3 linked regions of the Struthio camelus genome follow. The protein of the gene in region 1 interacts with the protein of each later gene in a pairwise test. Links are inferred from orthologs where the notes say so. Each region holds a gene or a part of one and is shown in the gene's direction. Other genes may lie near its edges.

What was found.
Region 2: the proteins of EMD (region 1) and TRAF3IP3 interact in binary tests that used the Homo sapiens proteins (3 or more experiments, as listed by UniProt). The two-hybrid records come from large-scale screens. The link is inferred for Struthio camelus from reciprocal best matches to the Homo sapiens genes EMD and TRAF3IP3.
Region 3: the proteins of EMD (region 1) and TRIM42 interact in binary tests that used the Homo sapiens proteins (3 or more experiments, as listed by UniProt). The two-hybrid records come from large-scale screens. The link is inferred for Struthio camelus from reciprocal best matches to the Homo sapiens genes EMD and TRIM42.

What each region holds. Positions count from the first base shown.
Region 1 is NC_090979.1:105,400-112,659, reverse strand, and holds the start of EMD (emerin), read left to right. Parts: upstream 1-4,167; 5' UTR 4,168-4,240; intron 4,241-6,407; 5' UTR 6,408-6,410; coding exon 6,411-6,492; intron 6,493-6,641; coding exon 6,642-6,713; intron 6,714-7,141; coding exon 7,142-7,195; intron 7,196-7,260. Other genes in the region: SYP (synaptophysin), read left to right, coding at 170-368, 883-1,074, 1,763-2,062. UniProt on the Homo sapiens protein: Stabilizes and promotes the formation of a nuclear actin cortical network. Stimulates actin polymerization in vitro by binding and stabilizing the pointed end of growing filaments. Inhibits beta-catenin activity by preventing its accumulation in the nucleus.
Region 2 is NC_090965.1:8,845,795-8,853,815, forward strand, and holds the start of TRAF3IP3 (TRAF3-interacting JNK-activating modulator), read left to right. Parts: upstream 1-5,000; 5' UTR 5,001-5,341; intron 5,342-5,535; exon of another isoform or gene 5,536-5,672; intron 5,673-5,772; 5' UTR 5,773-5,910; intron 5,911-8,021. Other genes in the region: 11-beta-hydroxysteroid dehydrogenase 1, read left to right, coding at 75-198, 587-744, 1,339-1,450, 1,593-1,778, 2,762-2,905, 3,390-3,610. UniProt on the Homo sapiens protein: Adapter protein that plays essential roles in both innate and adaptive immunity. Plays a crucial role in the regulation of thymocyte development.
Region 3 is NC_090950.1:10,498,198-10,506,020, forward strand, and holds the start of TRIM42 (tripartite motif-containing protein 42), read left to right. Parts: upstream 1-4,732; coding exon 4,733-4,765; intron 4,766-6,551; coding exon 6,552-6,880; intron 6,881-7,823.

The sequences.
Region 1 (7,260 bases):
GGGGAGAAGCTCCAGGCCCATAGGGACCATGTGGGGAGACGCTACGTGCAGTGGGGAGGATGCTGGTCCCCGTGTCCCGCCCCAGGCCGCGTGGCGGGTGCCCTGGGGGTGCCCTGGGGGCGGGGGGCCGGTGGCGGGGGCCGGCGCTAGCCCGCTGCGGGTGCCGCAGGCTGCACCAGGTGTACTTCGTGGCCCCCACGTGCCAGGGCGCGGGGCAGGAGAAGGTCTTCCTGGTGGGCGACTACTCATCGGCGGCCGAGTTCTTCGTCACCGTGGCCGTCTTCGCCTTCCTCTACGCCCTGGGCGCCCTCGGCGTCTACCTCTTCCTCGACAGCAAGTACCGGGAGAACAACAAAGGGCCCGTCATCGTGAGTGGGGGCACCGGGAGGGTGGGGGACGTGGGGGGGACACGGCATGGGGGGCTTGGGGCATGGGGGGACAAGACACGGGGGGCTTGGGGACATGGGCATGGGGGCCACAGGGATGGGGGGGCTTGGGGATATGGGACAAGACATGGGGGGCTTGGGGACGTGGACATGGGGGGACGACACTGGGGGGCTTGGGGACATGGAAGATGTGGGGCAGGACATGGGGATGGGGCATGGGAACATGGACAAGAGATGGGCACAGGGACATGGGGATGGGGGGCAGAAGGATATGGGGGACATGGGGCAGCTGGGCACGAGGATGTGGGGACAGGGCAAGGGGGAGTGAAGAGGACATGACATGGGGGACAGGACGTGGGGGCACGGGGACGTGGGGGCACGGGGACGTGGGGGTGGGGGGGACATGACACGGGGGAGGTGGGACAGGACGTGGGACGGGGGGAGGTGGGACACGGGGACACGGGGGGCCGGTGGTGAGGGGCGCCCCCGCCGGCAGGACCTGGTGGCCACGGGGGTGCTGGCCTTCCTGTGGCTGGTGAGCTCCTGCGCCTGGGCCAAGGCGCTGGCCGACGTCAAGGAGGCGACGGCGCCCGCCGGCGTCCTGGCCGAGCTGCCGGGCTGCCAGCGCCCCGGCGCCCGCTGCCGCGGCCTGCGCGCCCCGCTCACCTCCGGCCTCAACACCTCCGTGGTGAGCCCCTATAGCCCCCTATAGCGCCCCTCGAGCCCCCCTACGGACCCCTCTCGTCCCCTATGGCCCTGTTGGGCTGCCAGCGTCCTGCTCCCCTCTGGACTCAACACCTCCGTGGTGAGCCCCTATAGCCCCCTATAGCGCCCCTCAAGCCCCCTACGGACCCCTATAACCCCCCCATGGGCCCCTACGGACCCCTATAGCCCCCTATGGCCCTGCTGGGTTGCCAGTGCCCCGCTCACCTCTGGCTCACCTCCGTGTTGAGCCCCTACGGACCCCTATGGTGCCCCTATAGCCCACTATGGTGCCACCGGGCTCCCCTGGGACCTATAGCCCCCCCCCCAAGCCCCCCACAGTGCTCCCGGGGGACCTATAGCACCCCTATGGTCCCTCATGGTGGTCCCCTGGGATCCTTGCAGCCTCCCCCCCACACACTGTAGCACCCTTGGGACCTATGGCCCCCACAGTGCTCCCCCAGGGTCTATAACACCCTTGGAGCCCCCCCATAGAGCTCCCCCCAGGACCTATAGCACCCCTATAGGCCCCCATAGCAGTGCTCCAGGACCTATAGCACCCCTAGAGCTCCTGCAGAGCCCCAGGACCTATAGCAGCCCCGCAGCCCCCCCCACCCCCTCCAGCCCCCCCGGTGCCCCATAGGCGGCCCCCTATAGCGCGGCCCCCCCCGCAGGTGTTCGGCTTCCTCAACCTGGTGCTGTGGACGGGCAACATCTGGTTCGTGTTCAAGGAGACGGGCTGGGGGGGCCCCTGGGGCCGCGGCCCCCCCGCGGGGGCCCCCGAGAAGCAGGCGGCCCCCGAGGGCTACGGCCCCGGCGGGGGGGGCTACGGGCAGCCCGAGGGCGGCTACGGGCAGCCCGGCGGCTACCAGCCCGACTACGGCCAGGGGGGCTACGGCCCGCCGGGGGGGTACGGCCAGCCCGAGGGGGGCTACGGCCAGGGCGCCCCCACCTCCTTCGCCAACCAGATGTAGGGTGAGTGGGGCTGCGGGGGGGGGCGCTGGGGTGCCCCACGTAGGGCTCTGGGGGGCAGTCGGGGGTGCCTGGGGGGGCTGGGGTGCCCCCATGGGGGTTTAGGGGGCAGTGGGGGGAGCTGGGGTGCTCCACGTAGGGGTCTGGGTGCCCCCATGGGGGTTTAGAGGGCATTGGGGGGGGCTGGGGTGCCCCACATAGGGGTCTGGGTGCCCCCATGGGGGTTTAGAGGGCATTGGGGGGGGCTGGGGTGCCCCACATAGGGGTCTGGGTGCCCCCATGGGGGTTTAGGGGGCATTGGGGGGAGCTGGGGTGCCCTACATAGGGGTCTGGGTGCCCCCATGGGGGTTTAGGGGGCATTGGGGGGAGGTGGGGTGCCCTACATAGGGGTCTGGGTGCCCCCATGGGGGTTTAGGGGGCAGTGGGGGGGGCAGGGGTGCCCCACGTAGGGGTCTGGGTGCCCCCATGGGGGTTTAGGGGGCGGGGGGGGCAGGGGTGCCCCACATAGGGCTCTGGGGGGCAGTCGGGGGTGCCTGGGGGGGCTGGGGTGCCCCCATGGGGGTTTAGGGGGCAGTGGGGGGGGCTGGGGTGCCCCACATAGGGGTCGGGGGTGCCCCCATGGGGGTTTAGGGGGCAGTGGGGGGGGCTGGGGTGCCCCACGTAGGGGTCTGGGTGCCCCCATGGGGGTTTAGGGGGCAGTGGGGGGAGCTGGGGTGCCCCACATAGGGCTCTGGGGGGCAGTCGGGGGTGCCTGGGGGGGCTGGGGTGCCCCCATGGGGGTTTAGGGGGCATTGGGGGGGGCTGGGGTGCACCACATAGGGGTCTGGGTGCCCCCATGGGGGTTTAGGGGGCAGTGGGGGGGGCTGGGGTGCCCCACGTAGGGCTCTGGGGGGCAGTCGGGGGTGCCTGGGGGGGCTGGGGTGCCCCCATGGGGGTTTAGGGGGCATTGGGGGGGGCTGGGGTGCACCACATAGGGGTCTGGGTGCCCCCATGGGGGTTTAGGGGACAGTGGGGGGGGCTGGGGTGCCCCACATAGGGGTCTTGGGGACAGTGGGGGGGGCTGGGGTGCCCCACATAGGGGTCGGGGGTGCCCCATGGGGGTTGGGGTGCCATGGGGGGCAGCCTTGGGGGGCTGGGGTGGCGTCGTGGGTCTGGGGTGCCCCACGGGGGTCGGGGTGCCGCCGTGGGTCGGGGTGCCACTGACGGCCTCTCTCCCGCAGGTCCCCCCCCGCAGCAGGGGGCGCCGAGCCCAGGAGCTGCCCTGGGGGGCAGGGGGCGGGGCCTATGGGGGCGGGGTGGCCCCGCCCCCTCTGTCTGCACCTATGGTGTCTGTGGGGCCTGCCCCATAGCCTGCCCCACAGCCCCGCGGCCTGCCCCATAGCCCTGTCCTTAGCCCCACGGCCTGCCCCATAGCCCTGCCCCATAGCCCTACAGCCTGCCCCCTTGCCCTGTGCCATAGCCTCGTGGCCGGCCCCACAACCCTGCCCCACGGCCTGCCCTGTGGCCTGCCCCGTAGCCGTGCCCCACGGCCTGCCCCACGGCCCCGTGGCCTGCCGCGCAGCCCTGCCCCACGGCCGTGCCGCCCCCCCTGCCCCCCAGCCCGGTGTCTGTCTTGTGCCGTGATCGTGACGTCTGGGGCCCCGGCGCCCCCCGGCCCGCCGTGGGGCAGGGTGGGGGGGGTGGGGGGGGGCGCGACCCGCCGGCCCCACGGAGGGAATAAACGAGGAGAAACGAGCCCGGCCCGCGTCCTCCTTGGGGGGGGTCTGCCCCACACGTGTGGGGCTGGGCTGGGGGGGGGGGCCGGGGCCCCCGCCCGGCAGGAGCCCAGGCGTCCGGGAGCCTCCCGTCCTCCTCACCCCGAATGGGCCCAGGCGTCCGGGCCCTGCCCTATATATGTGGGGGAGAGGGGGCTGCCCCATAGCGCCGGGTGGGCCCGGAGGGGCGTGGCCCCGCTGAGAGCACGCCCCTTGGTGGGCTTGGCCACGCCCCCGATAGGTTTGGCCCCGCCCCCGGCGTCCTGTCCGCGGCCTGGCGGGCTGACCCCGCCCCCCGCTCGAGCTGACCCCGCCCCCCGCTCGAGCTGACCCCGCCCCCGCTCGAGCTGGCCCCGCCCCCCGCGCGCTGGCCCCGCCCCCCTGAGTCACTTCCCTTCGCGCGCGCGGCCTGGACGCAGGAGCGAGGTACCGGGACCCCCGAGCGGCGCCGGGCCCGGCCCTCGGGGGGCCCCACGGCCCTGCCCCATAGCCCCGGGGGGCCCCGTCCCCCCACGGCCCTGCCCCATAGCCCCGGGGGCCCTGTCCCCCCACGGCCCTGCCCCATAGCCCCGGGGAGCCCCACGGCCCTGCCCCATAGCCCCGGGGGCCCCTGTCCCCCCACGGCCCTGCCCCATAGCCCCAGGGAGCCCCACGGCCCTGCCCCATAGCCCCGGGGGCCCTGTCCCCCCACGGCCCTGCCCCATAGCCCCGGGGAGCCCCACGGCCCTGCCCCATAGCCCCGGGGGGCCCTGTCCCCCCACGGCCCTGCCCCATAGCCCGGGGGGCCCCACGGCCCTGCCCCATAGCCCCGGGGGCCCCTGTCCCCCCACTGCCCTGCCCCATAGCCCCGGGGAGCCCCACGGCCCTGCCCCATAGCCCCGGGGGCCCCTGTCCCCCCACGGCCCTGCCCCATAGCCCCGGGGAGCCCCACGGCCCTGCCCCATAGCTCCGGGGGCCCCTGTCCCCCCACGGCCCTGCCCCATAGCCCCGGGGAGCCCCACGGCCCTGCCCCATAGCCCCGGGGGCCCCTGTCCCCCCACGGCCCTGCCCCATAGCCCCGGGGAGCCCCACGGCCCTGTCCCATAGCCCCGGGGGCCCCTGTCCCCCCACGGCCCTGCCCCATAGCCCCGGGGAGCCCCACGGCCCTGCCCCGTAGCCCCGGGGGCCCCTGTCCCCCCACGGCCCTGCCCCATAGCCCCGGGGAGCCCCACGGCCCTGCCCCATAGCCCCGGGGGCCCCTGTCCCCCCACTGCCCTGCCCCATAGCCCCGGGGGGGCCCATGTCTCCCCATGTCCCCTCATGTCCCTGCCCCATAGCCCCGGGTGGCCCCGTGGCCCTGTCCCATAGCTCCAGGGTGGCCCCATGTCCCCTCATGTCCCTGCCCCATAGCCCCGAGGGGGGCCTGTGTCCCCTCATGTCCCTGCCCCATAGCTGCAGCATGGCCCCCTCTCCCCCCACGTCCCCCACATCCCTGCCCCATAGCCCCGGGGGGGCCCCTGTCCCTGTCCCCTTCCCTGTCCCGCCAGCCGCCCCCCGTCCCCGTCCCGCAGCCTGCTCCGCGCCCGTCCCCCCGCGTGTCCCCGTGTCCCCCCACATCCCCCCCGCGTGTCCCCCCATCCCCGTGTCCCCCCACGTCCCCCCGGTGTCCCCACATCTCCATGTCCCCCCACGTCCCCCTGCGCGTCCCCACATCCCCGTGTCCCCCCATCCCCGTGTCCCCCTCGTGGGTCACCTCGTGTGTCCCTACGTCCCCATGTCCTTACATACCTGTGTCCCCCCGCATGTCCCCTCCGCGTGTCCCCACATCCATGTGTCCCCCGCCCCCGTGTCCCCCCACGTGTCCCCCCATGTGTCCCCACATCCCCGTGTCCCCCCGCGTCCCCCCGTCCCCGTGTCCCCCCGCGTCCCCACATCCCCGTGTCCCCCCGCGTGTCCCCCCGCGTGTCCCCCACGTCCCCGTGTCCCCCCGCGTGTCCCCACATCCCCGTGTCCCCCCGCATGTCCCCCACGTCCCCGTGTCCCCCCGCGTGTCCCCACATCCCCTTATCCCCCCGCGTGTCCCCCCGTCCCCGTGTCCCCCCGCGTGTCCCCCCACGTCCCCGTGTCCCCCCGCGTGTCCCCACATCCCCGTATCCCCCCGTGTGTCCCCCCGCGTCCCCGTGTCCCCCCGCGTGTCCCCCCGTGTGTCCCCCACGTCCCCGTGTCCCCCCGCGTGTCCCCACGTCCCCGTGTCCCCCCGCGTCCCCCGTCCCCGTGTCCCCCCGTGTCCCCACATCCCCTTATCCCCCCGCGTGTCCCCACATCCCCGTGTCCCCCCACGTGTCCCCCACGTCCCCGTGTCCCCCCACGTGTCCCCCCGTCCCCGTGTCCCCCCGCGTGTCCCCCGCGTCCCCGTGTCCCCCCGCGTGTCCCCCCGCGTGTCCCCCCACGTCCCCGTGTCCCCCCGCGTGTCCCCACATCCCCGTATCCCCCCGTGTGTCCCCCCGCGTCCCCGTGTCCCCCTGCGTGTCCCCCCGTGTGTCCCCCACGTCCCCGTGTCCCCCCGTGTGTCCCCCACGTCCCCGTGTCCCCCCACGTCCCCGTGTCCCCCCAGGCCATGCAGAGCTACCGGGGCCTCACGGACAAGGAGCTGCTGGAGAAGCTCAAGAGCTGCCGCATCCCGCACGGCCCCGTCGTGGGTGCGGGCCGGGGCGCGGGGGGCGCGGGGTGGGGGGGCCGGGCGTCCGGGGGGGGGGCCGGGGGGCTCCTGCGATGGGGCTCCTGGCCGTGGGGGGTGCCGTGGGGCAGGGGGTCCCAGGGGTCCTGACCCCCCGCCCCGGCCCCCCAGGCTCCACGCGGAAGCTGTACGAGAAGAAGGTCTACGAGTACGAGACGCAGCGGAGCCGCGTGGGGGGCGGCGGTGAGTGGGGGGGTCCTGGGGGGCTGGGGCAACCGGGGGGGGGCGTGGGGCACCCTGGGGGGCTCCGGGAGCCCAGGGGGGCAGTGGGGTCCTGGGGCGCTGGGGGACCGCAGGGGGGTAACTGGGGTCTTGGGGGGTCCCAGGGGGCTGGGGGGGCCACGGAGAGGTGGGGAGGGACCCCAGGGAGCTGTGGGGGGGCCATGGGGGGGCTCCGGGACCCCAGGGAGGCAGTGGGGTCCCAGGGGGGCAACTGGGGTCTTGGGGGGGCCACAGGGAGCCAGAGGATCCTGGGGGGACTGTGCAGGTCCCTGGGGGGTGTTGGGGGGCAGGGGGTCCTGAGGGGCCCCTGGGGGGCCAAAGGGACCCCGGGGGGGCAATGGGGCTCCCGGGGGGACACCACTCCCCCCAGTGACGCTGTGTCCCCCCAGACCCCGGCTCCTCGGAGACCTTCATGCAGGAGTCGTACCAGGGCCCGGAGGAGGGTGAGTGGGGCTGGGGGGGTCTGGGGGGTCCGGGGGGGCCCAGTGCCCCCCACTGACCCCCACTT
Region 2 (8,021 bases), on another chromosome or scaffold:
GGCTCTATAAAGAAAAACATGTGCAATTTGATGGTCCTTTCAAAATGCAGCTGGTAAACCTCCTAATACAAAGGATGGATGAGAGCTTGTCAAGGGGAATTTTGGCAAAGGCAATAGCACAGTGCAACTGTTCAGAGCATGCTGCACCATCTAGGAGAAACTCACAGGATTTCGGTTGGGCTCTGCTAGGATCACATGGTAAGTGTTTGATTTCAGCAAATGAATTTGTCTGAAAATATGCATTTATCCATTTTAAATGTTTAATCCTTTCCTTAGTCAAACCCTAGTCATCTTTTAAATTTACTCACAGAATGGACCGCAGAGCTTAGATCTCTCGTGCACTCCAGTTCAGACAAGGATTAAGGAGCAAATTCCACTCTGGGTTTGTGAGAGCAGCTGCATGTTACAGTAGTGCAGTGTTTCTGCGTGTAGCTTCCCTGATCCCTTTATCTGGGAACAAAGGTGAAATAGGCTGAGAGGAGACTCTGCTCTCAAGGGCTTTGGAGAACTAACACTCTGGCTCATGGGGCTGCCAGGCACAGCATGGGCCTGCACTAGGGGTCTGATGCTGTGTCCTACTCTCTAGAGATGCTCAGAGGGAAACGGGTCATCATCACAGGCGCCAGCAGTGGAATCGGAGAGCAGATGGCTTATCACCTGGCACGCATGAGGTCCCATATCCTGATCACAGCACGGACGGAGGCCAAGTTGCAGAAAGTAAATGCAAAACAGAGCACTCCCAAGGTGCCCAGCCACCATAACATCAAGTAGACTAAGTTTTACAATCCAGAATCCCACAGGTAAAAAGTGCATGGATGTTCACCCTATCCAGAGCACATGAGGATGCCAGATACCATAGAGATTCGCTGTTCCATTTTCCCCAGCATGAACCTGGGGAACTCCTCACACCATTTTAGATTGTATTTTCAATGCTGACAGCACAGCATTTTTCTCCACAGTCTGCAGTTTTAGACGCTGATCACCACCAAGGACAATACTAGGCTGCCCAGATCTTGGTCTGATCAACCCTTATGGTTGTCAAAGTCTGAATTGTTTTGGTTCCCAGTATGCAACAGAATCAACTAAGCAGTCATATCCCTTTTCAGTATCTTCTATAAACACTAAATATTTGGCTCAGATGTGCCACTGTTTAACTCATTGCAGCCAGAAACAATTATATGAGCAATACATCTCCTCCCATGAAGTCAAAACAGTTACCAATGGGCAGAAAGACATGCTCTTCCTATCTGGCCCAAAAGACAGCTTACAGCATTTGCAGGATGCTGGGAGCTGACACAGGAGTACCTGTGTCTAACACTGTTCTCACTGCCGTCACAGGTTGTGGAGCGTTGCCTCAAGCTGGGTGCAGCATCTGCTCGCTATGTGAGTGGCAGCATGGAGAAAACAGCATTTGCCAAGGAGGTGGTGAAAGAGGCTGAGACAGCCTGGGGTATGTGGTGGGATCTGCCTTTTCCTCATTAACCTCCAACACCCCCCTTGCTCAAGTTATGTTTCAAGGTGTTCTAGCCAACAAGTAAAGGCTTTTGTTTTGAGGATGCAAGTTGCCCATAACAAACATGTTCTGCTTCCAGGAGGCCTTGACATGGTTATCTTAAACCACGTCGGTCACAGCTATCTCAATTACTTCAATGGGGATGTCGGACACATACGAAAGCTCCTAGAGACCAACTTCCTCAGCTACGTGGCCATGACTGTTTCTGCCCTACCAATGCTAAAGAGCAGCAATGGCAGCATTGTTGTCGTTTCATCCATGGCAGGTGAGCACGAGACAGGCTAGGGAGTCCCAGGGCAGCCAGTGCCACGCTCTTCTCCGATTTTAAGCCTCTTCCACTGCCTGCAAGGGATCCCATCTGCAGCTTTTCCTCAAAGGAGGGAATAAGGACCATAAGGCAGGAAGTTATCTGGCTGGGATTGGAATCTGTATATATTGTGCACCCAGTGTGCAAGTTAAGTCATCTGGAAAACTTATAGTTTACACCCCATTCTTCCTCAACCTACCCACTGTCTTCTCCATGAAGGAGGGATACACACTCCTGAGGTCCTATGTTTGCAGTTAGCTGAACTTCCTGCCAAAACCTGGGATGAGAAGATTAAAAACTATGCAAGTCATCTCTCTTTCCTGCAGCTCCACAGGCATCCATGAAGGGTGCACAGCTGGAGCTGTACCTCTAAGCCCAGAGACAGGAAGTTCAGGGAGGGGCTGCTAAAACCCACATCTTGCTAAGCAGCGATAGCAAATGCTGAAGACAGATGTTATACGTCGGTTCTTTCTTAACATCAAAGCAACAAAACCTGCCTTGAAAGCATTCTCTGATAAAGGCCAAGGACTACACAAAACTGATGGGCCTATCACAGCAGCATACCTTCAGCATTAAATCTAACTTTCAAACTAAGAAAAATACTATGCATTACAGTTGATGGTATGCCACTGCATGTTATTTATGTGCATGGCCATTTATTATGCATTTGCTACACATGGATGCGTAATGCAGGAACGGAAGAACAGTATCACCTACAACTGAATGTACTTCATGTCACTATATGTCACATGCTACAGGAAAATTAAGTTAGGAAAACTTTTGTTTCTCTCCTCCTCATTTTAAACATCCTTTCATATATTTATTTCTCTCAAGTACTCAGAATAGATCACTTAGTCACTCTAAATCTAAATATTTTAGCTACTCCAAGGACAGTACTCTGGTGCAATATGTGAACACTGACGTTCTGCCTCCCATCCCAGGTAAAGTTGGCATACCATTTATTGCTCCCTATTCTGCAACCAAGTTTGCCTTAGATGGATTTTTCAGCTCCTTGCGACAGGAATTCATCACTGACAATGTCAATGTTTCCATCACACTCTGTGTCCTGGGCCTCATTGATACTGGTAAGTTTGACATTTATCTAGGCCTCACTATTTAGGAGCTGTGCACACCCATTGCTAAGTCAGAAAAGGCATTTTAGACAGAAGAAAGCACTCCAGATCTGCCAGTATTCTACTTCCCCAGCACTGCTGAAACCTCAGCCCTTAAGTGGCGGCACAATTTTGGAAACAGGAGCTCAACATTTAAAAAAAAAAAAAAAAAAAAAAAAAAAAAAAAAGCGGTCCCAGACCTTTGACTCAACTATCCTTGTAATAAACTCAGGGGAGATGGGGATTTGGTTCTAGAATTAGTTGAGAGTTGGAAAGGCATGGGAAGGATATTACTGTAATTTTGTACATATTCTAAACTTTAGGAAATAAACCTGATCCCCAGCATTTCTATTAGTTTGTTAAATGAAGCCATGGATACCTCTGAACTTTGAGCCTCTAGTACCTGTTGCAGCCTCCCTCCATCTGACATCACTTTTTCTTGCTCTCCTCTCTCTAGAAAGTGCTATGAAAACCATTCCCCATGCGATTCGTGGGACAGCCGCACCAAAGGAGGAGTGCGCGCTGGAGATCATCAAGAGCGGAGCACTGCGCCAGCGAGAGCTATACTATCCATACTCAACCATGAGGAGTCTGCTCTTCCTTCGAGACTGGGCTCCAGACTTCCTTGATTCTCTCATAAGAAACAAGTTTAAAGTGGAAAATATCAAAAAAAAGTAGCTATAGGACACAGTGGATCCTCCTAAGGCAGCAAGCATGTCAGCATGAGGCCACAGGAACACAGCGGAACATTGTGCAGGACACACGATTTTGGTATTAATCCAGCTATTCTGGGTGCTGTTTGCTATGTCACCAGAGTGGCTTCACAGTGATACATCTGAGCAGTTGTGTCCCCACTCATACAGATGTTTAAAAAAAAAAAAATCCCGCCCTATGATGTTGCGCATGGACCTTTTCTGAAAGCAACATGGCCGGGGAACACAGGGCCTCCTCAAAGCTGTCAATTTAAGAGAAGGCATATCAGAAATCTATGACACAGCATGCAAATGTCTGTTTTAGTAACAAATTCTTGTAACTAGCTTTTTCTGATCAATAAACAATTCAGAAAAGTGTACTGACAGCAGAATTTCCCTATCAGTGGATTTTCTCTGCTGGCAGCTGGCCACTCCAGCCTGAATAAAGTTAAGCTTTGTGCCTTACTGCAGTTCAACGTCTAGAAACTATTCCCTCACTAGAAAACCTGCAAGTCATTAAAACTTAAAATGTTTTGAGAAGTATACAAACTAGGATCCTGGGCCTTCTGATATTTGTATATGCTTTTGCCGTATATTTTCCCTTCATTTTATCACATCCCTGTCACAGAAGAAGAGATTAAGTAAAAGGCAATTAACGTGAAAGAGAGCTGAACCCACAAGCCATACTCCAGTGTTTCTGCAGGAAAGACAAGGAGACTCATAGGAGCTTGACTGAAAAATTTAATACCTTAGTGACCTGGTCAAAGCTATATTAAAAAATTAACAAAAAAGATTTAGATTGGGGGCATGGGGAACAGGATTATAAAGGGGAGCCACATGGTTAATAAGCAAAGGGGAAAGGGGCCTCAGTTCATTCCAAATAGGGATTTAGGCTGAACTGCATGAACCTCACAGACAAAGCTATACAAGAGGGTCTTTGAATTGGATTTTTTTGGTCATGTACCCATTCTAGGTTGGTCTTTAGAAAAGAAATCTCATATTACTTTATAATATACTTTTATTGTTGCTCCTCTTCCACATGAATATACAAACAACCTTTACCAGTGCACAGCTGGTTAAACCAACCTCTCTACATGATTTGCATTAACACAGCTTTCACTTCTCTGTAAAGACCTTGATGAATTTCTGCCATTCGTGACCTTTCCTCAGCTGCTAAAATACACTTTTTCCAATCTACAAGAAGCCTTAAAATAATAGCATTACTGTACTTCCCTAAGTCTGCATTCTTTACTCAAAGCAGCTTGGAAAGATTCAGTCACGATGCGCCACAAACAACTCCTTGCACCAGCACTCAACCTCAGAGTGTCAGAGACTGATAAAGAAAGATAGCCCAGAAGGTAGTTGCTGGCCCTAACAGTGAAATTGCAGCCTCTCGCATCACAACATAACCCAAATCTCATACTGAGCCAGGCCCCAGCACTGCCTTGCACCTAGCAGCATTTTCTCCTATGCTACAAACTCAGAGCAGAGACAGGAACCAGGGTTAGGCACTGTGGCTTATACATTTCCTGTTTTAGAGAAGAAAAAAAAAAAGCAGCAAAATTAAGCGGTTGGAACGAAGATGGCAGTTGGAGCATGTTTGTGCCTGATAATCTAGCGCTCACCCTTTTCTCCGCCAAAGCTTCACAGAGGTTGTGGAATAGGACTGAACTCATTTTCGGTTCTTTCACTTCGAGGCTAGCATTACAGGACAGAGGTAAGTGTCTACAGCTCTGGGGCTAGCTAAGGATGGACAGGAACAGCAGGCTGGCAAGTTAAAAGGCGGCAGCATGTGCCTTTCCCCCCCCACACCCCTTCCCTGGTCTCAGCCTACATGATTGACACTGGGAGGTTGTAACATGAACCAACAAGAAACTTTTTTTTTTGTTTTTTTCCGTTTTTTTTTCCCACTTGAAGTGAGAAGTGTAGCAGCTTGGAAAGCAAAGATAAAGGACACTTTTTTTTAATTAGAGAGGGTAACTTTAAGTGACAGAAGAAAATAAAACATTAACTTGTCAAGAATGCCTCAACAGTTTGCTTAGTGTGGGGTAAGTAACGGACTGTGTATTTCTCTATGTTTCTGCCTTGCTTTAAAACATATTTTTGTTTAACCAGCTATATTATAAAAGCTTTTCTTGGGATGCACAGTAACAGGATCTGCAGACCACAGAGGTGGAGCAGGTGGGACAGTGACTGCGCTGTTACAGAGGGACAGAGTTTAACCGACCAGGCCTCTGAGCGTGGAAGGGAGAAGGATGTCTGAGGAGCAGTGCCCCGATTCAGCATGTAATTAAGTCATTTCTAAGTTAAGAAAATTAAGTTGAAAATGCTTTTATCAGATCCTGAAGAGTTTGGAGCAAGTTTGGCTGTATATATACATTTTGTCCCAAAATAAGGGTTTCATATCCAGCTTCAGGTTTTAAGGGAGGTTTGTTGGGCATATTGCTTTGTGAAGCTGTTTGCCAGACCTTGCCTGCTGGGCTAAGGAAAAGCGCATGTGTGAGCAAGAAGAGAAAAGGCCCAAAATGAAAACAATGAAATTATGGTTTGGACATGAAAGCTGTATGGAAATAATATGTTTTGCCTTTTAGAGTCCCAGACTTCAATTACGTATTACAATAAGAAGCATCTGAGTAGTGAAATACTGTTGGGATTGTTCTGTAAATTTAGGCTAAAATTAGAGACACTTCAGAATCTATTAAGTTTCAAAGAACAGAATATTAAAACAAATATGAATACAAAAAAGACTGCTGTCTAATCTTTCAGTTAAGTGATTAATTTCAGCAATATCTTTGAATCTTCGTTTTCCTGACTGGCTGGCTGAGCATTTGAAGCAATATGCTGGTTGTTAGTTTGCATGCATTTCCTCTGTTTAAAGGCAAGAACTATTCTGATCGTTTTAAAAAGGCTGTTCTCATTTTGAAAGGAAGTCCCTATAAAAAGGCAGTGCTGGTAACATGCTTAGGTTATGCCACATCTAGAATAAAAGCCAATAAAGAGTATTACGGTGCAGATTTTAAACACAGAAAAAATTAATTTTTTTCATTAGACTCATTGACTTCTTAATTGCTTGAGACAAAATGAGACAATGCAATTGTTGTTTTTGTTTGACAATTAGCAAGATTTAACCTGGATTTTCCAAGACTAAAATTCTTCTTTTTCCATACTCCATCCTACATTAAAACAAAACAAAAAACCCCACACCACAATACTTCTCATACTCAGAATTGATGACAGATACAAAAGCAAGTAGGGAAAGTTAGCAGGAGCACGGAAGGCCTGCCAGGCATCCGAGTGATCTACTGAAGCCAACCATCTTTCAGTTTGCCAAGCTTTGAGAGCAGCCAGCTGCAGGACACTGAACTAGCAGAGACGCATTTAATAACTGCTACCAACAGTTGCTTCAGAAGTGTTGCACATAGCTTTTACTATCATACCTTTAGTGGTCCAATCCAAAGACAAAAGCCTCAGCATTCTGATGTCACAGCAAAAAATAGGGTGAGACATTGGAGCCTTGCCTTGCAAAGATACATGCTGTTGTTGTGACCGCTCCCTCCAGGCACACGAGTTGCTTTAACATGGAAGATGACATCTGGAAGAGATCTCCATTTCCAGCCTCTGGACCCTATTATCGGAAAATAATCTAAGCAATACCTTAAGTTTCCCTCAGCCCAATTGGTATTATTGTCACAGTCCCAACACAGCTATTCCAGTCCTCACTTACACTGATGTAAATTAGCATCAGAAACACTCAAATACACACTGAATTGGGGAATTTATTCCTATATGATGCAGAACAGAAAGTAGTCCAACTTTAAACAAAAGTTGGAGTTAGGAATTACATGTTTGTGCTTTGATTGGCGATTTGAGGTTCGCCAGTCTCACAAGTGTTTTTGCAGAGTTTGAACTCCACTGCATGCAGCCAAAGCTCTAATTTTTTTCCCCTGGGCTTAGAAGGATTTGCTGGTTTTCCCTTGGAGATCATGGGAGGAACAGGGGGGTGGAAAAGGTTGCCTTGAGAGTTAGCAGCCATCTAAGCCAAAATACTGGGGAAGGGGAGGGAGCAACACAGAGATAAAAGAAAGAAGCACTGGCTAGCTAGGGTTTTTAGAAACTGGGTGCTTAGATCTCTTGGGCCCTTTTTGGATGTTCCACTGAAAAACATCTCTGTAACACTGTTTTCAGTGTTCCAGACCTCTATGCACACAGAAAAGGCAACCATCACTAAGAAATACATGCAACTGCTTGAAAAGTAAATTATACAATAGCAAACCTATATTTACTATTTTTTTTACCTTTTTTTTTTTTACTGAGAAAAAAATGGCAAAATAAATGCACACTTAAAAACTTCATTACAGAAATAGCAGTAGCCATTGTTCTTCCTGTGTTTTCTTTAG
Region 3 (7,823 bases), on another chromosome or scaffold:
AGTCATCAGGACGTGCAGCGGAGAACCAATACAAGAATGAAAAATAGGCTAAAAAGTGAGGCAGACGCTGCGTGCTATGGTCAGGAAAGCAGATATGCTAACAGGGACAGCTCCCTGAAGCACAGGGCAAGTGCCTGATCACCAAATTACCTAATCACTAACGACCAGGGAAAACACTGGGAATTAACAAGGTTGGTTACTATCCATTTATGCTCTTGCACCAGAAAAGGCAAATTTGCTTTAAATAAGCACTAAGTTTGACTGATTAGTAATCATATAAAGTATTTTATACAGCACCTTTACACAGCAAAGTCCGGCACGTTTTAATGTATCATGGCCTTTATTTTTAAATTCCTTGGTTTGCAGCTGCTACATTTCTGCTAGCTAAAGTACTCAGCCAAGATGGTTGTGTTTCTCTTCTGCAGTCTCAGCAGCAACACAGACCCACCCCACCGTTAGGAGATGAACATCCTTACTCTGGGAACCAGCCCAGCTCGAAAAAAGTCACAGCCCCAGGAAAAACGGCCGAGGCAGAGCAAACAGCAGGGAACTTCGAGCGAGCCAAAACGGTAACGAAGACGCACCGAGCTCGGGCAACCCGGGGGTGGCCGCGACGAAGCGCACGCTAGGAGCCAAACCGACAGGGGAAAGGGGAGACGGGGCTCGAGGCTGCGATACCCAAAAGTCAGACAGCCGCTCCAACTTACCAGAAGGAGAGAGGACGAAAACTGAACGATGAGACCAAATTTCAGACACTCCGATCCGCGCAGCAGCAGGCGGCTCGCCCGCGGGCCCAACGGCCGCCCCGTCCCCCCCACCGCGCGCGCCCAACGGCCGCCCCGTCCCCAGCACCGCGCGCGCCCAACGGCCGCCCCGTCCCGCCCGCTCGCGAGCCCAACGGCCGCCCCGTCCCCCCCACCGCGCGCGCCCAACGGCCGCCCCGTCCCCAGCACCGCGCGCGCCCAACGGCCGCCCCGTCCCGCCCGCTCGCGAGCCCAACGGCCGCCCCGTCCCCCCCGCCGCGCGCGCCCAACGGCCGCCCCGTCCCCCCCACCGCGCGCGCCCAACGGCCGCCCCGTCCCGCCCGCTCGCGAGCCCAACGGCCGCCCCGTTGCCTCGGCGACCGGCGGCCCCAGGGCACGGCGAAGCGCCCGCCTGAACGACCTCGTGGCGCTGTGACCACCTTGTGCCCCTCTCAGAGAGGCAATGAGGCCCGTACCTTTCCTGAGATGTGCTGGGATATTTAGCGCAGCCCTAAAATTGCCGTCCCCCAAGCGCTCCGAGACCTCTCCTCTCGAGACCCGGCCAGGGGGCTGTGGTGGGGACCCGCCAGCCGGGTGAGCGCGCCAGTTGGGGTGCCTGAGGTCCCCACACTGCCCCTGCGTGGCGGGCCAGTCCCGAGGGCCTGCCCAGGAGACCCCCGACATGACAGACACTGTGGTGCACAGTTCGAGAAATAAATGCAACAGCTGCCACTAATGCCCTGTCTGCTTGTGAGAGCAGGGACTGAATGATACGCATAATACATACCTAGTATTTCCAGTCATTCTGTGAAATGCCTGAACTTTCATTTGTTCCACCGAATGACAGGCCTCACGTTGTGACTGTTAACACATAAAGCCAAGAGGCCTGCACGTAACAGGACTAAGAAATGAGTTGGGAAAGACCATGCATGCTGACCCGCAGTAACGGCATGTTATTACAGTTTCTTAACATCTATGACAAACACATCCTCTGGAGCATTTTGTAGCGTTTCACTGTATACCTCTGAGATCTGTGCAAAGGGGTATAAAATGCTACTATTTCTCTGGCGCAGCATCACTGGAAAGTTCTTGGTCTGTGGGAAATGCATCTGTTTTGAGCAGCATGTTACATACATACCAAAATTAAAATTCTTAATTTTCTTCTAAATTTCTTTTCCAATGTTTTTCATGAAGTCTTAAAAATAACTCCTAAATGCCCTCTGATTATTCCAGATACTTCTTTTTATTCCTTTGGTGAATTTTATAAGGCCCAGAGAATTTGAAAACACAGATTTACTTAAGAGTAACATAGCTTGTTGTTCTCTTATTTTACTCTACATAGTTGGTAACTATATGTTGCGGGTGTTAATTGTGTTACTACATGATCACAGTTAATCTTTTTAATGAAGAACACAAAAAGTCATTAGCAATTCCTTTTCTCTGGCGTTGTTGTTAGTTTTCCCTCTGGCTCAGATAATGTACTCCGCAGATACTGTATTTCGCATTGCCAGTCAATCCTAACATTTGTAATTTTTGTAGTGTGTAGTATTCAGAAACACTTTTGAAGTCAAAGAGAGTTTGAATGACTGTTAGATGTACATTAGTATTACCTTTTCCATGGAGTAGTCCTACATACATAAATCAAATAATGCTTTCTTGTATCCATTAGCAAAAAGCAGTAGAAGGAAAATTTATCATCATTTTTCCTCTGTCTTCTTTATCCATAGGCATATGGAGCTCAGCGTGGTATACTTACACAGCTTTAGAGCGATGAAGGAGCCTAAAGCTCACAATGTACTCTCTTGCTTTACTGGCTGCTAATCTTTTTGTCTCATCATCCCCCATCTCTGGTCTAGCTGCTGTCACCGGTCTGCCTCCATAGCAGCTGAGCCCTCTCAAATTTTCTGCTGAAGAAAGGCAGAGAGCAACTGTGGAGAGATTAATATTTCAACTCTGCCTTTTTCAAAAGAAGCCATCCAAATATTTCTGTGGCTTGGAACATAAGGGTAGCCATTTGGCTAGAGATGAAGGGTTGAATTATGGAGAGGCAATGAAGCTCTACAAAGCAAGAAAAAAGCTAATACTGTAAACCCCACTATTTCCTAGGCTGTCCCATCACTAGGGAATTGCCCTCTAACAGATATACCTGTTGTAAAGTGATGCTGGAAACAATGAACTAGAAACTGGGAGTCTTCTTACGAGAAAAGGGACAGTCTTTTTGCCATTCTGTTGCTGGTTGCTGCGGGCAAAGCCACAGCTAACCAGAAATAATGCTTTGAGAAGTGACTCTCAGTTCTGAGTGCCTCCGTTTTAGGGTGTATAACGTCAGGCTTTTTATATTTCATTCTTTAAGACCCCCAAAGCAGACATTGCCATGTGCTGCAGTCAATTCACCTCAATCACTTCATTTTATTGATAAAGAGCTGCTATACCCTTTAGAGAGAGAATCCTGCTGGGCTACATAGTTTTATAGGAAGGACAGTAAGGTAGCAGTCCCTCTTCCTCCTCTCCCTGACTCACGAGCTTGCTTTACCTCTCTGGCAGTGCGTGAAGGCAGCCAAAGTTAAATTTTCCAAGTTGCTGAGACAGTGCTTACTTTATATTCTTGCGTGAAGTAAGGATGCAAGCAAGAGACAGGTTTCCTTCATTCTCCCTTATTTTTTGAGTTGGTGAAAGGACGAAGAACTGCAAGACAATAAGCTTACTAAGAGCACAGACATGAGGTGCCTCACCATACTCATCGTAAGAGGAATAAATAATTTAACAGAGAAATTACATTCAGGACGTTAAAGATAGGGTTGGGGTAATACAGGAGAACCTAGCTTTCCCCTTCATTGTAGTGACAAAACACAACTAAGACCTTAACAAACCCGCTGATACCTGAAATGTGAGTGGTGAGGAACGTGTCCATGACATTTCATTATTATTTTCCACCAATGATGGAGCAATACACATATTCACGTCTGTTCTCCTCTCCAGTGAATAAAAGTCTAAGAAGATGCTATACACAATCCAGTTCTCAGGTGAGAAGGAGACAACCGATGAAACCCAGATTCATATCATAGTGTGTTACTATACACACTAGTTAAGGAGTAAGCTACAAATGGCATATGGTCTTTCTTCCAACTTTTTGTACATTACTAATCATTGTGCATTCTAGAATTTGAGTTAGAAATACTAACGTTAGAAATATCACAGAGATATCTGGAGGTAGAGCAAAAGGGAGAAGAAAGAAAAAAAAGACAACAATCTTAGGCTTATCTTGAAAAACACAACTAAATAGGATAAGCTGCCAAGTGAAAAATATTAGATTATATTATTTGACAGCTAACGGAAGTACAACACAAGTGACTATATGTAACTAATATGAAGTAATGGAAACTGACCTGTGTCTTCACCGTACTGTGCTTTTCTTTTTCCTTTTTTATTTCTCTCTCTCTTCTTGGCTTTCCTTGAGCACTAGGGTAATGGCCATATATCATAACAAGGCCTAAGAGACTCAACACCTTGCAGGGTCAGGCTCGTTTGTTGATGAAGCCAACCACATCTGAGCCTGGCTGTCTTGAGAACTGTGATGAAAATGACAGCCAGACCCAACCACAACAGAGGTGGGGGCAGAGGGGAGCATGTTTGCAAACACTATTAAAAGTCCGTCAGTTTGGCTGCAGCTGTTGCATCTAATTCAGTTTCTCTGGCAGCCAGACTGATTTGATCTTTCAGTATCTGTTAGAGGAGAATAAACATACTAATGAAATGGGATCATTTCAGAACTGTCTGCACGTTCATAGATAGACTCAGAGAGGGTCACCTATACTGGGAGCTGCAAAGGAATGAGGCCGATGGTGAGAGTAGTTTTGCTAACGCAAGAATTTGACCACTAAAGCTACGGGAATTATATGGGGAGGTGGGGACAAACAAGTTCAAGGCCCAGTGGAAAAACACAACTCATAGAAAAAACACTAAAAAAAAAAAAAAAGGTGTTGCTCAGAATGATAGATGAAGAAGGTACTCTGAACAGCTGCATTGTGTAGAGATGGAAAAGAGAGCCATAGGCACCAGCTGCTAAAACTTGGCCATTAACGTTTGCTCTGATCTAAAATGTGATACACAGGACTAAGATCTGTTTCCTTTTTTTTTTCTTTACTCCTCCACCTCTCCTTTCTCAAAAAAGGATATAAGAATGCTTGCATTTTGGAAAAGAAAAGCAGACAAGCATCACAAGATACCTTTTTTTCTACCGATTAATTGAATTCAAAAGTGTTTTCATCTTCTAAAATTAAACATGCAAAATAAAAAGCGTATTACCTTTGATTAAACTGGAAAGACAAATGGAGTAACTATCATCCACTAAAGGTACAGGTTTTACTATGGAAAGAATTTTAGCGCACAGATCTAGTGCTTATGCATGAAAACCCCCTTGACACAATAGGCATAACCATTCCAAAGGACCTATTATGGCCCATCATGTAAATAGCTACCCATAATGACACAGCCATTATGGTCCATAGGGCTCTGGATCAGTGAATTAAAATTTCTCTAGGCAGAACAGACTGAGCAAAGAGGCTCAGAGGAGCTGTTACAATAAACTATGTCAAGACCTATCTTAGTAACTCACAGTTATACATTAACCCATTAACACAAGCTGATTTGCTAAAGAAGCTCTTAGCAACCTACAGTACAGAGGCCACAATTAAAAGTAAGTATTCTTGAAAATGTACCATATAGACACCACTATTCTTTACAGTTTCAAGTAAGAGAATAAGCTGTTTTAGCTGTCTGTCACAGGTGACTCCTAGAGGATGGATTTTCTTTTTTTATATATCTGCATTACAGTAAGCTACTAGCATACTGAGAAGCTTATACATACTTTACAATAACTTAATTTTTATTCAAAATTATTATCCCTGTAAACAGATATAAAATGCTATTTAAATCTTGGAGTAGGTCACCTAAATTAAGGCAGAAGGTGCTTAATATGAGGTAACTAAAGAATAACTAAAATATGATGTCTAATATTGCATTTATAGGAGAGTGGGGCACTTACAGGAGAGTGGTGAGTTTAAGGAAGGACAGGAAACACACTTGGACTTCAGGAAAGAAGGCAGGTCCACAGTGAATGAGCAATAGTACTGAACCTACAACCCAAGTTTAGTTCCTTTCCTTAGGCCTTGAGGGAACGAACGGCATACATTGTTCAAGAGCACAAACGCTGGCAAACAAAGGCTTATAATAAGGACAGTTACAGGGAAATGCTTCCAGATGCATGAATCTTAGTTCTTTCATGTGTTATGCTTAACGTCTTATGAAGGTTTGATGAAAAATCTCACTATAGCTGATTAGGGCCTGATTCAGGTCATTCACTTATGGCACCCAACTTAGCCAATGAAATGTCTATAAAGTAAGTGTGTTGTCTTAAGAACATGGTTGCCTTAGGATATCTAGGTGTGTAAGCTGCCTATGCGATTAATGGAGAATGAGGTAGATGTTTTCAAGAAATTCAGGAAGAATGATTATAGTTACTGTGATGTACAGATGATGCCATCAGTGTGTCAGCTCTATGTGTGTGAGATTCTGCCTGTGTCCTTATTTGAATGTGTCACTGTGACATCCTTATTCTGTTCCAGTTAGAACAGGACATTAGAACGTTTTCACAGCACGGAGCTTGACCCAACAATCAAACCGCAAGCCTTCTTGAGAGCCAAATTGCTGTAAAGCTGTAGTGTGAGGAGAAGCTGAGAAGATTAATGAACTTTCTTCTAAGTGTCTGATAGAGTGATGGCCAAAAGTGAACGTCCCTGTTTAATCCACCCATGCTGCTCAAACTGCTGCTGCTGTTACCTGACTTGCCACAGCAGAAGCGAAGGATGCTGTTTGTGCTGGCGCTTCTTATTTACCAATGAGCGGAACTGCAGCTGTTTCCCATGTCCGTATGCAGAAGATGCACCCTGCCAGTGTTGCCACTGCTCATGTGCAGAGCATGCAAATTGCTGGTGGTGCTGCTGCTCTTGTTCAAATGACCCAGACTGTAAATACTACTGCTGTGGTGGGGAGAACTCAGCGTGTCAGTACTACGAAAGCAGATGCTGCAGAAACTCTGTCTACAAACCACACCACTCAAGAGCACTAGGGACTGTTCAGTAAGTGGAGTCAAAAGCTTTTAATTTCTTGTGGGTTTTTTCCTTTTTTCTGATTGACATTATGTCTTAATGGATGCGCTGCATTTAGGAACATAAGATCTGTTGGCTTGATAGAGTCCAGTTCCCAGCTATTTCAAGTAACAGCAGGATATCATCTTAGAAGATGAAATTGAAAAGCAGAAGGGAAGGGGCCAATTATTAAATACAGAAACACTAAGCTAAAGAGGAGTCAACTGAAAAGGTATTCTCCAATACCTCTGTAGAATAGCTAGCAAGCTAGCAAAAGAACTCGAGACTACAATAGCAGCAAACAGAAAGGAATTGACAGGACTTCTGGAAATGTATGGTCTATTCCTATATAGCGAAACCAGGAAGAGCAGAAGGAATCTTCACAGCAACAGAAAATTCTATTCTCTTTAGTTTACTGTTTGTCATGGACAACAGAAGCTGATAGTATAGTTGCTATTGAACATGTAGGGAGAGAATGAGGGAAGGACAACAACAGCAATATGAATGCTAAAAAGAAATACAGCAGAGTGCCAGACTGCTGTGGTCCAGAACGAGATCTACAGGAAACATTGAATACTGGTGTTCCTGTCAAGGCTCTGGAAACTCTGTTAACTACTCGTGGAGTAGTACAAAGGTAACATTGGATTTTTAAAAGAATAACGTCCACAGGGTAAGAGGCAGGCTAGAACAATCAAGATTTGAAGATAACAGGGATTTACCATGGCCTGAAAGGCAGGCCTCTTCTGTAGTAATCCAGAATGTTTACCTAGATTTGAAAGCCTTAGCAATTAAGATAAAAGAATCAATCACAATAAGGCTGCTACTAACACTAAGGATGATCTTCATTCATTCTATTAATCGGAAATAATTCAAATGTGATTTTTTTTAGTGACTAAAATATTAGCATGATCATATGTAAAGGTGGTTTGCTAAG